3 linked regions of the Ovis aries genome follow. The protein of the gene in region 1 purifies or fractionates together with the protein of each later gene. This does not show direct contact. Links are inferred from orthologs where the notes say so. Each region holds a gene or a part of one and is shown in the gene's direction. Other genes may lie near its edges.

Region 1 (4,021 bases):
GTCCTTTCCATGTCACAGTCTAACAGGCTGCCCAAAGATTATTTGTCTAGAGGAATATGTTTTGCTTGACTTACTATTTACTACTGATTACAGTCAAGTCTCTCTGAAGTCTCTATTAACTTGCAGACTGTTTGTAGAGATGCAAATGCTTCTGTCAAATAGAAATGACAGCCTCCAAGCTAACAGTTGTATTTCCCTGTAGGACATTAAACAGTATTGTATTGAAATCAAACTTCATAGTTTTACTTTATAATTATTTCTTTGAGTGCCTATATGCACTTTCTTTCAAGTTCTCCTTTGTTTATTTATTTGTTGTACTGGGTCATCATTACTGTGCAGTGGCTTCTCTTGACACAAAGCGTGAGCTCTAGGGTGTAGAGGCTTCAGTAGTTGTGGCTTATGGGCTTGGTTGCCCCAGCATGTGGGATCTTCACAGACCAGGGATTGAACCCATTTCCTCTGTATTAGCAAGTGAATTCTTAGCCACTGGACCACCAGAGACGTCAAAATTCTCCTTTGAATCAACTTAACATACTGCTGTCTCCTCATTAATGAATTAAATATTTATAGGGGCTTATTCTATATTTTGTATGTCACATATTTTTAAACATTTGTATTAGAGTTTAGCTGCTTTACAATGTTGCATTAGTTTCTGCTGTACAGCAACGTGAATCAGTAATATGTATACATATATCCGCCCTTTTTTTTAGATTTCCTTCCCATTTAGGTCACCACAGAGCACTGAGTAGAGCTCTCTATGCTATACAGTAGGTTCTCCTTGTCACATTTTCAGTTTTCTAAAAATTATACTTTGACAGTGGACACGTAGCTATGGCAAAGGTGAAACACTCTTCAGGTGTTTAATTGAACAGTGGATATAAATGAGAGGGCTGAGGCAAGTGAGGAGGATGGTGGGTGCCATAAGGTAACAACAGCTGAAAGATAGGTTCGTGAGGATGTTAAAAATATCCCCTGGGGACTCCCAGACATGACTTGGTGAAACAAACGTTTTACCTAAAGTTCCTGATTTCATCTTGATTGTGAAGGCAGAAGGAACTCAGAAAAGGGAAGCTGTCCAAGTTTCACTGAGACATTATTTCAAAACCTTTTCATGGAAACTTCTAATTGGATATCCTTTGGCCAGCTTGAACTCATGTCTAAAACTGTACTTCCTTTTCCACTCAAACTTATTTCTACCATTTTCCCCACTTCTTGAATGGCAACTCTTCTTACCCAGTCCTTCAAGCCTGAAACTGAAAAGTCATCCTGGACTTCTCTAGACTCTACGTATAAAATCAACATGGTCAACGTAAATAAAAAGGTAAACGGAGACAGCCTCAGTTTACCAGAAATTTAGTTTATTTGGGAATAGCAGAGAAATTGCAATTCAAGAAATGCAAGCTGTATCAAGCTACAGGTGAGTCCCTTGAGGGTTCAGGGTGGGCTCCATTTATGGGCAAGGAGTGCAAAGAGGAGGATGTCCAGCCAGAGCGCAAGCAGCAAGTTCACTGGCTTGAGGATGGGGAGGGATGTTTGTTGGTCAGGAGATAAGTCTCTGTCCTCTGGAAGTCAGGCATTTATGGGAAATCAGTCTCTTGGTTAAGTTCCATTCTTCTGAGGACACATGCCTGAGATTCTCTATTTCCAATCCTCCAGTTCCATTTCAGGTTGAAACCCTCTCACAGTACCCAAGTCTTAACTAATTATATCTCATAAACATTTTCCCCTTCCTGCTACTGTTTTGTTAATTCAGTTCTTTATCACCTCTCGCTTGATTAGCCTCCTCACCTGACTTAGGTTTCACCTTTCTTATCACTCATCCTGCCAGTCTAGTTTATACAATGTTGCCAGTTTCACCTCATTAAAAAATATTATAATCATGTTACTCCTCTGATTAAAACCCTTCAAGGGGTGGGGGGAGACTTCAAGGGAAGCCAGTGTAGAAGTGGAGTTGATGGAATTTGATAACCAAGTGAGTCAAGCAATCCGGGATGTGAAAAGACTCTTCAACGTTTTTACTGCCTATAGGGTAAAGTCCAGTCCAGGCTCATAACACTAAGGCAATTTACACCTGCTCTCAACTTACTTTATCAGTCTCATCTTCAGGCCCTCCCTAACAAATACCTTATACTATGATTATATCGCACTTCTCACCATGCTCTTCATGCTTCCTAGTCTTTCTGGCCACTGTTCCCTTTGTCCCAAATGACCTCATCTCTCTTCTCTGCTAAGTTCATTCCTATTCACCTGTCAAACTCCTCCAGGTGGAACTCACTGGTGTCTCCTTAAGTTTGGCACTATAGATGCCTTAATCCTGACACTGGTAGCCCTTGACCAGCTTACCAGCCAACTGGTGGTCACAACTCAATGTCCTCCTCCACCATGTGACAACGAAAGGCAATATCTGACCCTAGACAGGCTCCTGTACTGGGGTGGGGTAAGGGAATACTTAAAGGACATTATTAGGTCAACTGCTAAAATTGGAATATGGGATGATAGATTAAAGTGTTGTATCATGGAAATTCCCTCATGGTCCAATGGTTAGGATTCTGCCTGCCACTGCAGGGGGCAAGGGTTCAACCCCTGGTCAGAGAGCTAAGATCTCACAAGCTGTGTGGAGTGGCCAAAAATAATAAAGTGTTGTATTAATGTAAATTTCTGAAGTTGATAATTGGATTGTGGTTAAAGTAAGAGAATATTACCATACTCTTCAGAAATATGCACTGAAGTATTTAGGGGTGAAGGGCAATGATATATAATTCTCCCCAACAGTTCAGGAGAAAAGATAGAGAGAAAGGTAGATCATACAAATGATAAAGCACATGGGGTAAAAAGTTAACAGGTGAATCTGGGGTAAAGATGTTTGAGGAGGTCATCAGGAGGAAATGACTGCCAGTTGACCCTGGGATTGGACAAGCAATGGGAGGCTTCTTATCCCCTCCCCTGCTTGCTTGGAATTCTGCCCACTGCTCCCATGCTGCTGCTGCTAAGTTGCTTCAGTCGTGTCCAACTCTGTGCGACCCCATGGACGGCAGCCCACCAAGCTCCCCTGTGCCTGGGATTCTCCAGGCAAGAACACTGGAGTGGGTTGCCATTTCCTTCTCCAATGCATGAAAGTGAAAAGTGAAAGTGAAGTCGCTCAGTCGTCTCCGACTCTTAGTGACCCCATGGACTGCAGCCCACCAGGCTCCTCCGTCCATGGGATTTTCCAGGCAGGAGTACTGGAGTAGGGTACCATTGCCTTCTCCAACTGCTCCCATAGCCAGAGGTGATTCAAGGCCAGAGCTCTGAGAGAGTGAGGTATTGAGACCACCTGGACTGAATAAGTGACTGAGCCCAGTTTGGGCCTCTGTGTAAACTTTTAAGATTCTGGCAGGTGGGTGTGGAGATGGGTTTGTTTTGGGACCATCCAAGATGAGCCTCCTATGTAAGTTTCCTAACTTACAAAACCTCCTCCTACCAGTCTGGGGTGGTCTGCCTCTTTGGTCTCTCCTCGCTTCTGAGGATAAGGCGCCAATCTCAAATTTCACCTGGGGAGCTCCAGAGGTTTTGAACCGACAAAAGGGTTTATAACTGTTCTTTAAACTATTTCTTTAAAAAAAAAAATGTATTGGCATCTAGTTGCTTTACAGGACTTCACCAGTAATGAATCCGCCAGCAGTGCAGGAGATGTGGGTTCGATCCCTGGGTCAGGGTTCGATCCCTGGAGAAGGAAATGGCAACCCACTCCAGTATTCTTGCCTGGAGAATCCCCATGGACAGAGGAGCCTGGTGGGCTACAGTCCATGGGGTCTCAAAGAGTCAGACACGGCTGAAGGAACTGAGCGTGCGTGTGTGCATAGTTACTTAACAATGTTGTGTTAGTTTCTGCTGTACAGCAAAGTGAACCAGTTATACATATATCCCTTCATTTCTAGATTTCCTCCCCATTTAAGTGACCACAGAGCATTGAGTAGAGTTCTGAGTGCATGCATGCTAAGTCACTTCAGTTGTGTCTGACTCTTTGTGACCCCATGGACTG
Region 2 (4,054 bases), on another chromosome or scaffold:
CAGGAACAGTGCCACACGGCAGCCACACGACCGGGAAAACGCTGCCACAGCCCCCTCCGGACCTGTTTCTTCCAGACCCACCAGGCCCGGCGGGAAGGGGCACCCGGACCAGAGGCTGGCCCCGCCCATATTCCTTCTAGGCGGGGTCAGTGTCCGGGGCTGTGAGGTGCCTCATGTGGGGCGTGTCCCGTGAGACAGGCCGTCGGCTTTGTCTCCAGAAGTCCGGGCTACAGAGGGAACTGCTGGATGGCCCCGGGCCCGCAGACAGGATGAGGGGCAGGTAGGCAGGCAGCCGGCAGAGGCCTGGGTGGGGCCGGAGCCTCGCTGCTCGGTCAGAGCCCAGCATTGCCTCAGCCCTGCTCAGTGACGCAGCAGGGCCCAGAACGGCCCCGTGTAAGGCACTCTCCACTTGCGAAGGCGAGACGCGCCTCCAAATTGAGAAATAAAGACAAGTTAGCGCATGGAACTCTGCCCCACGCTGGGCGCCAGCTGGACGGGAGGGGCACTGGGGGAGAGCGGACACACGCGCACGTGCGGCTGAGTCCCTCTGCTAGTCGCCTGAAGCTGCCGCCGCACTGTTCATCAGCTAACCCCAGGACCAAATGTTTCTGGAGTTAGATACCAAAAAAGTGAATCCTCCTCAGACCACTGGTGATTTAAAGGAAGAAATATGAGTTTCCAGAGTTATGCCTATGGCTGGTTCATGCTGATGTTTGACAGAAAACAACAAAATTCTGTAAAGCAGTTATCCTTCAGTTAAAAAAATAAATTTAAAAAGAAAAGAGTTGTTTGGAGACCAGAACAGCAGCCAATACGCTCGCCTTTTTCGCGCCGCCTCAAACGAGTCTCGCCCCCTCGGACGAGTCCCGCCCCCATGTCGCCTCTGGCCTATCACGGGCCGTGTGTCTCACGAGTCCCGCCCCCACGTAGTCCCCAGCCTATCCCGCAGCGCTTTCGCATCACACCGCCTTCCTATTTCCCTGCTGGTGGCGCGCCCGCTCTGACCCTTGACCTCTCTCTGGACTTTCCCGCGCCGCTGAGTCCCGCCTCCCAGAGCAAGCGCTCCGCCCCCGCCCTCGCTCTGGGCCTATCCCGCGTCGCGCCGCACACGAGTCCCGCCCCATCCTCTCCCCAGACCTATCCTGTGTCGCGCCGCGTATTAGTCCCGCCCCCCGCTCCGCGCCGGGTTGGCGCGCGGCTGTGACGTCACGGGCAAGAGAGGCGCGGCGGCCGAGCGGAGCCGCTCCGGGCCGCGGCCATGCCCAAGCGGGGCTGCCCCTTCGCGGATGCGGCCCCGCTGCAGCTCAAAGTGCGTGTCGGCCAGAGAGAACTGAGTCGCGGCGTGTGCGCCGAGCGCCTCACACGAGAGATTTTCGGTGAGTGCTGTGAAGCGGGGCTGGGCGGGGGGTCCCCACCGGCCGCGCCCGCTGGAGCCGGTGCCCGTGTTCCCCGCCGCCTGACCGGGCTTAGGATCCGCGAGAAGGACGGCGTGAATGCTCCCGCGTCCACGACCTGCCCCTTCCGCACCTTCCGAAACGGACGGCTTCTGCGTGGGGCCGAGTCGGGGCTCGGTCCTGCGGGAATACTGGACTCACAGGGACCCGCTCTGATCTGACCAGCCCAGCGATAGGCCTCCGGGTCCCGCCTCCCGGGACTCGTCCCGGTGGGAAGGTCGGCAGAGGCACCCCTTCAAACCCGAGAGGCTTGTGTGGAGCGCGCCCTCCTTGCCAGGCGGTGCCGCTGCTGAGGGGGCCAGTCGAAGGAGGACTCTCTAGAGGGGCAGACACGGGTCACCGAAGGACCACCTGCAGGCTGTCAGGTCTCCTGGAGGAAGAGTCAAAGCCAGATTCTGCGGGGTTAGACAGGCAGAGAGGGAAAGGAAGGAAATTTCCCGGCAGAGGGAACAGCCTGTGCGAAAACCGGGGCGCTGGAGTGTGCTGTCCGGCTCTGCACGGCTGCACTGTCCAGTTGAAAAATGTGAGGGCCCTGACCTAAGCCTTCTCCTCTGACTTCTTCAGGCACGTTTTTGAATGCATGGATAATACTGACATCGCTTTGGAGAGATTAGCAGGTGATGTAAATAAGTGAAGCCTAGGGTACTTGGGCCAGACTGCAACTGTTACTCACTCTCTCAGGACCTTCCAAAAACGAAAACACTGCAAACAGAAGGGAGGGCTTCCCTGGCGTCTCAGACAGTAAAGAACCCGCCTGCAGTGCTGGAGGCCTGGGTTTGATCCCTGGAGGATCCCCAGGAGGAGGGCACGGGAACCCACTCCAGTATTCTTGCCTGGAGAATCCTATGGACAGAGGAGCCTGGTGGGCTACAGTCCATGGGGTCGCAAAGAGTCAGACACGACTGAGTGACTAACACACACACATAAGTCAGTCTAGCTCTTGACCACAGTGTCCTGGACCATTTGCAGAGCTTGGCCCACGCAGGGCCCATCAGGGAGGGGGTGCTAGGCTCCCTGGACATTCTCTGAGAAGGACAGGGCCTTGTGAGGCCCGTGTGAACTCATGTGTAATGATTTCCAAGTCTTAAACTCTCGCCTCTTTATGTTGAACTGGCCACAGGCCCTTGAAGACAAGTGTTAGTCTGGCCACATGACCTGCCCCCTGCCCAGTCCCATCCTGTTACAAACGGGGAGACTGGAGGAGGAGGAGCTGGGTGTGGCAAGCTGCCATCACTTCCGTGAGTTATCAGCTGTGTGTTTCTGTGATATCACCCAGCACCAGCAGCTTCTAAGGTCTCCACCCTAGCTCTGTTGGGACAGAGCAGAGAACCACAGAGCATTGCTGGGCTGGCATTTAGCATTTCACCTTGCGAAAGCTGCTGCTCGTGGCTGGGGAGATGTCCAGGCCCCACAGAGGTCTGGAAAGTTCTGGGGTACCTTGTCAGGAGCCAGCTGTGGCTGTGCATTTTGCCAGCAGCTCTGCAGTAGCCAAAAGGTTGCAGGCTCAGCCCTGAGTTTCTTGCTGTGCTTTAGTTGGCTATCCACAGTGCAGAAGGGAATGGAGACGGAGATGGCAGCCCACTCCAGTGTTCTTGCCTGGAGAATCCCAGGGACGGAGGAGCCTGGCGGGCTGCCGTCTGTGGGGTCGCACAGAGTCAGACACGACTGAAGCGACTCAGCAGCAGCAGCACAGAGCTTCCTCTGTCAGAGGAGGCCTGCTTGTGGGTTCTGGGGAGGAGGTGAGGCCACACGTTGTGAAAAATGAGCAGAGTGACGGGACGGGGAGCCCAGGTGGGGCTGCAGGCTGCAGAACCTGGCTGGAGGAGGTGCCTGCTGAGCCCGGGCCGGAGGGCAGCCTCGCCAGGGGCAGCTTGGTCCCGGGTGACTGGAAATCTGCTCAGAGGAGGGCTCAGCACGCACAGCTCCAGGGACAGGCGGCCCCGCAGGGGCTTCCGTACCGCAGGGGTGTAAGCGGGCAATGCTTGTCCTCCCCAGAGAAGACCACGCAGCTTCTCTTCCGTGGAGCCCAGGCCTGCATGGACCCTGCATGGGAGGAAGGCTGCGCCATTGTCCACACGCCAGAGTCCCCGAGGCCCGGCCCCACAGAAGCCCCTCGGGCCGCGCGTGGGCAGATGCTGATTGGGCCCGACGGCCGGCTGACCCGGAGTCAAGCGCAGGCCTCCGAGGCTGGTGAGTAAGGCGGCCGGCAGGCGCTTCCCAGGTCTCTGCTGCAGACAGGATGGGGTGGGGGCTCTTCCTCCTGGAGCTGGGCCGGAGTCTGATGCCGGGAGTGGGGCGAGTGCCTGGAGGTTCCCGCTGCAGGAGGCGCTCCCCGCTCTGATGTATGGGAACTGTGAGCAGCTCTGAGTGTTCAGTCAGAAAGGAGCGGGCCCCCCCCGGGTGGCCCTCGTGGGCGTCCTGCCTGCTCCCACCTGGAGCTCTCATCCGCATCCCTCTGCACTGTGCTGTAGACTCAGACCGTCACGTGCGTCACAGCTAAACCCCCACCCCTGGGGGCCCAGGAAGCCCTGTGTTAAGCCAGTACACGGGGGCCACACTTGGAGACGCAGCTGTGAGATGCGCCAGGGGTTGAAGGCCTG
Region 3 (4,120 bases), on another chromosome or scaffold:
CAAATAAGATTCTGGGAAATAGAAATACACATTAAACCCCCTTAAAAATGTCAACATAAAGTATATAATATCTAAGCATTTCTGATGGAATTGCAACTACCTGCAAATTTTTCAATTTCTACTGAGCAATTAGATACACTGTTCTGTCATTTTTATCTAATTAATTACATCCTGCTCTCTGTGAAAAGAACACAAACAACTGTTCCATATTTATTTGATCCAATTATGCATATATAATTTTGGACACATGTTGCCTTTAGCAGAACTTGATTTCTTTGAATCTCAAATTCTGGGGTCAATTCATCCAGGCATTTATAACAGTCTGGGTCCCAGACTCCTTTCAAGTCCATGTACTCAAATGAAAGCAATTTTTCACACAGTTTCTGGGAGCACCTGGACTCCCCAAGTTCCCTAGGTCCCCTGTAGAGTCCGGGGGCAGGGGCAGTGGAAATGAGGAAACAAGCCCAGAAGCTAAAGTGACTCTTGTTGTCAGTTGGGTCCACTACCAAGATTCAAATTCCCGTCTCTTGACCCTCTGGCCATTTTAGGAGAGACAAGCCCTGGGCCTCTTGGCCTGGGGTTCAAAGCCTGATTCTGCTTCCTGTTGGCTAGCAATGTGTGCAATTTACATCAGCCCTCACTGCAGCAGTTTCTGGGTCTGAAGACTTCCCCATTCGCTTGCCCCCTTGTTAGCATTACAGCCATGTTTAATGTGATTATTTACAAGTGAGGACAGAGATGAACAGGGTAGGTGAGTGCCCTAGGCCACCAGGCTGCTACGGGATGTGGCTCCAAAGCCTGTAGTCCCCACCCTGCATCCCCAGTTCCTCCTGCTCCTGACCAGCACCAGAGTAGAATACAGGAAGTCAGGAGCCAGTCTCAAGGAGGAGCAGCCTTCAAGCTCAAGTTCAACACGGCCAACCAGCTCTCTCCTACAGAGGAAGGATCAGTGAGAGGACCAGGAGGGACAAGGAGGTCAGTGTTTTGTGGAAGAGGATGGAGTGACCCAGATGCAGTGAGGCCAGCCTGGGGGAGGGGAGGGGCTGCTGCCAGGGCGGCCTGGCCTCTGGCTCCCACCCAAGGGGTCGCAGAAACAGCCGGCGGCAGCAGCACAGGCTGAGGGAGGAGGCAGGGGCCGGGCTTCCTGGATGTCCAGTCACAGGTACTGGGCAGCAGCCCTGGGCTGAGGAATCTGAAAACGCCTCCCTTCCTAGGCTGTGGGCCCCGTTGCCAGAACACTTTCAGTTTCGTTTCTCTGCCTGCAAGAACTGAAACTTGAAACCGACAGACTCCGGAGACCAGAACATGGAGGGAGCCTTCCAGGTGTGCAGGAACTGGTAAGAAGTCACTTTCCCTGGTGGCCGACCTGAGGCTGGCTGGTGAGAGGGGCAGAGAGGATAAGCCTGTTTCTAAAGTGAAGAGGAAAGGGTCTGTGTGCCCAGGAAGGCCAGGGTGGGCCCCTGCGGTAGGAAGGGGTAAACTGAGGAGATGCCAGTGAGGGAGGCTCAGGGTTGGCAGACATCCCTGAACCCCGCCCCACCTCCAGGTACTGAAGACTTTCTGGGACAGTTCTACAGCCAAACAGCCAGGCTACCCATCCCTGCTGGACTACTCCTATTTTTCTGACCTTGGGTCCTAATTTGTATGCTGTTCATACCAGTCTTTGAAAGAAAGAGGCTCAGGCAGATTGTCTGGGATCATTCCCACTCCCACCTTTGGAGGGAGCTGTGGAGCAGGGTGAGGGGATAGAGCAGAGGTCCCAGACCACACCTCTAAATCATGGGGACCCAACCCCTTGAGGCACCTCACTCTCGAAGCTCCCTACCTGTGACAGGAACCAGGGGGATCCTTCCCCAAGGCCTTTCTCCAGCCAAACCCTCCTAGCTGTCTGGTGTTTGCACCAGCTCAGGAAAAAAGCTGAGGTGCCAGGCCAGGCAGAGGAGTACGAAGAGAGGAAGGGAGATTTTCCTGGTGGTCCAGTGATTAAGAGTCCATGCTTCCCAGAGTAGAAGAGTTTTGTATACATATATATAAGTAATATAATATATATTATGTATTATTTATATAATTATATTTATTATGTATTTATAAAGAAATATATAATGTATTTATATTTATTATATAATATTAAGTATAATTTATATGCATTAGATATGTATAATATATGTATTAGTATAATATAGTATATATATGTATGTATAGTATATAGGGTATATATGTATTAGAAAACTTACAAGTTTTTGCCTGACTAAAATGTGACATTTTGATTCCACTTGCTTGACTTAGTATAAATAGAATGCTATTTCTAATTTTAAAAAATAGATAAGCAACAAAGGCTTACTGTATAGCACAGGGAACTATAGTCAATATCTTGTAATAACCTATAATGGAAAATAATCTGAAAATAATATATATATTGGGTTTCCCTGGTGTCTCAGACAGTAAAGAATCTGCCTGGCCATGCAAAAGAGACGGGTTTGATCCCTGAGTCGGGAAGATCCCCTGGAGAAGGGAATGGCAACCCACTCCAATATTCTTGCCTGAGAAATCCCGTGGGCAGAGGAACCTGGGGGGCTACTGTCCATGGGGTCGCAAAGAGTCAGACACAGCTGAGCAACTAAACCTCAGCCTTCCACATTGCAGGCAGATTCTTTACCATCTGAGCCACCAGGGAAGCCCAGGTTAGAAGTCAAAAACACAGTCATATGCTTTTGACACAAAGGATCATAAATCAGAATGACATACTGGCGTTTTACAAAAAGTTCACCAAGGATACCTGCCTAGTCCAGGTGAGCACGCAGAGTACTGAGTAAGCAGTGAGTCACTGTGACTGAGCACAGAGCTGAGAAAAAACACTATTCTTTTCATTTATATTCCTGGCATCAGAAGAAAGAGAAAAAGAAACGGTTGAGTAGGCTCTTCCATCGATGAGGGGCTCTGGTTAATGTGTAGGACAAATGCACAATGTACATGAGCAAGGGAGGAGCCCCAAACACACCGAGAGTTTTATCTTTAAATTGTTCTTGTCCTGCCTTAAAATATAAATTTTATTTCATCAGTCACAATCAAGACAATGAAACTATTCATTACCTCCCAAAGGTTTCTCTTGTCCCTTTGTAATTGCTCCCTCCTGCTCCTTCTTACCCACCGTGCTCACCCTGGGCAGCATAAGAGCTTTGCAGAGCATCCTTACCATTACGTCATGATTCAGCATTGTTCTGATTTGAGATCAACATGGAGAAGGCGAGGCAGGTGGTCTCATCATCATATTTTCAGTGCTTGCGGCCTTGGAAGATCTTCATCCAGGAGCCCCGGGCATAAAATATGGCTCCATGCTTTATGCCATGAAATAAACCTGCTTTTCCTCCTTCTTGATCCTGCAGCAAAAGAAAGGTGGCCTCCAACCACCTGGCCCTCCATGAGGCCCACTGTCTGATGTTTCTGGTCCTCTGCCCGGAGTGCAAGGAACCCGTCTTGCAGCATGAGATGGAAGAACACCGCCAGGGCGGGCACCAGCAGGTGGGGAGGCAGATTGGGGGATGGAGGTGGAGGGGCAGGGTCCTCTCTGCAGCCCGTCTCATGGCTGCCTGCCGTGGGCAAGTCCCTCAGCCCCAGCGCCCAGCCCCCTGTGCAAAGTGGAAAGGGTAGATAATCCTGCCCTTCCTGCACTGCCACCTGGGCTTCCCTGGTGGCCCAGATGGTAAAGAAACTACCTGCAATGCAGGAGACCTGGGTTCCATCCCTGGGTCAGGAAGATTCAAGGGAATGGCAACTCACTCCAGTATTCTGGCCTGGAAAATCCCATGGACAGAGAAGCCTGGTGGATTACAGTCCATGGGGTCACAAAGAGTCGGACACGACTGAGCTACTAACACTTCTTTCCTGTACTGCATTGAGTAGACCCTGGTTTCCCATTCCCAATCCTTTCCCTACAGGTGTATGAGGTTGGCCAAGCCTAGGGGTCCCTGTTTTGGGAAAAGTAAAATGTTCTTTTGAGATGTGTCAAGAGGAGAGACAGGAAAGGGGAGCTTGGAAGGCAGTCACGGCCAAGGTTGGTCAAGCCAACCTTTCTCTCCAGCTGTTTCTGGAGCTCCTCAAGCTCAGGCATCCATCTCAGCCA

The links.
Region 2: the proteins of XIAP (region 1) and SIVA1 purify together in Homo sapiens (affinity purification with western blotting; 3 studies listed by BioGRID). This does not show direct contact. The link is inferred for Ovis aries from reciprocal best matches to the Homo sapiens genes XIAP and SIVA1.
Region 3: the proteins of XIAP (region 1) and XAF1 purify together in Homo sapiens (affinity purification with western blotting; 5 studies listed by BioGRID). This does not show direct contact. The link is inferred for Ovis aries from reciprocal best matches to the Homo sapiens genes XIAP and XAF1.

Annotation. Positions count from the first base shown.
Region 1 is NC_056080.1:107,806,141-107,810,161, forward strand, and holds the start of XIAP (E3 ubiquitin-protein ligase XIAP), read left to right. Parts: upstream 1-1,195; 5' UTR 1,196-1,417; intron 1,418-4,021.
Region 2 is NC_056071.1:66,950,893-66,954,946, forward strand, and holds the start of SIVA1 (apoptosis regulatory protein Siva), read left to right. Parts: upstream 1-1,214; 5' UTR 1,215-1,258; coding exon 1,259-1,376; intron 1,377-3,449; coding exon 3,450-3,644; intron 3,645-4,054. UniProt on the Homo sapiens protein: Induces CD27-mediated apoptosis. Inhibits BCL2L1 isoform Bcl-x(L) anti-apoptotic activity. Inhibits activation of NF-kappa-B and promotes T-cell receptor-mediated apoptosis.
Region 3 is NC_056064.1:25,036,294-25,040,413, reverse strand, and holds the start of XAF1 (XIAP-associated factor 1), read left to right. Parts: upstream 1-1,286; 5' UTR 1,287-1,305; coding exon 1,306-1,337; intron 1,338-3,383; coding exon 3,384-3,519; intron 3,520-4,120. UniProt on the Homo sapiens protein: Seems to function as a negative regulator of members of the IAP (inhibitor of apoptosis protein) family. Inhibits anti-caspase activity of BIRC4. Induces cleavage and inactivation of BIRC4 independent of caspase activation.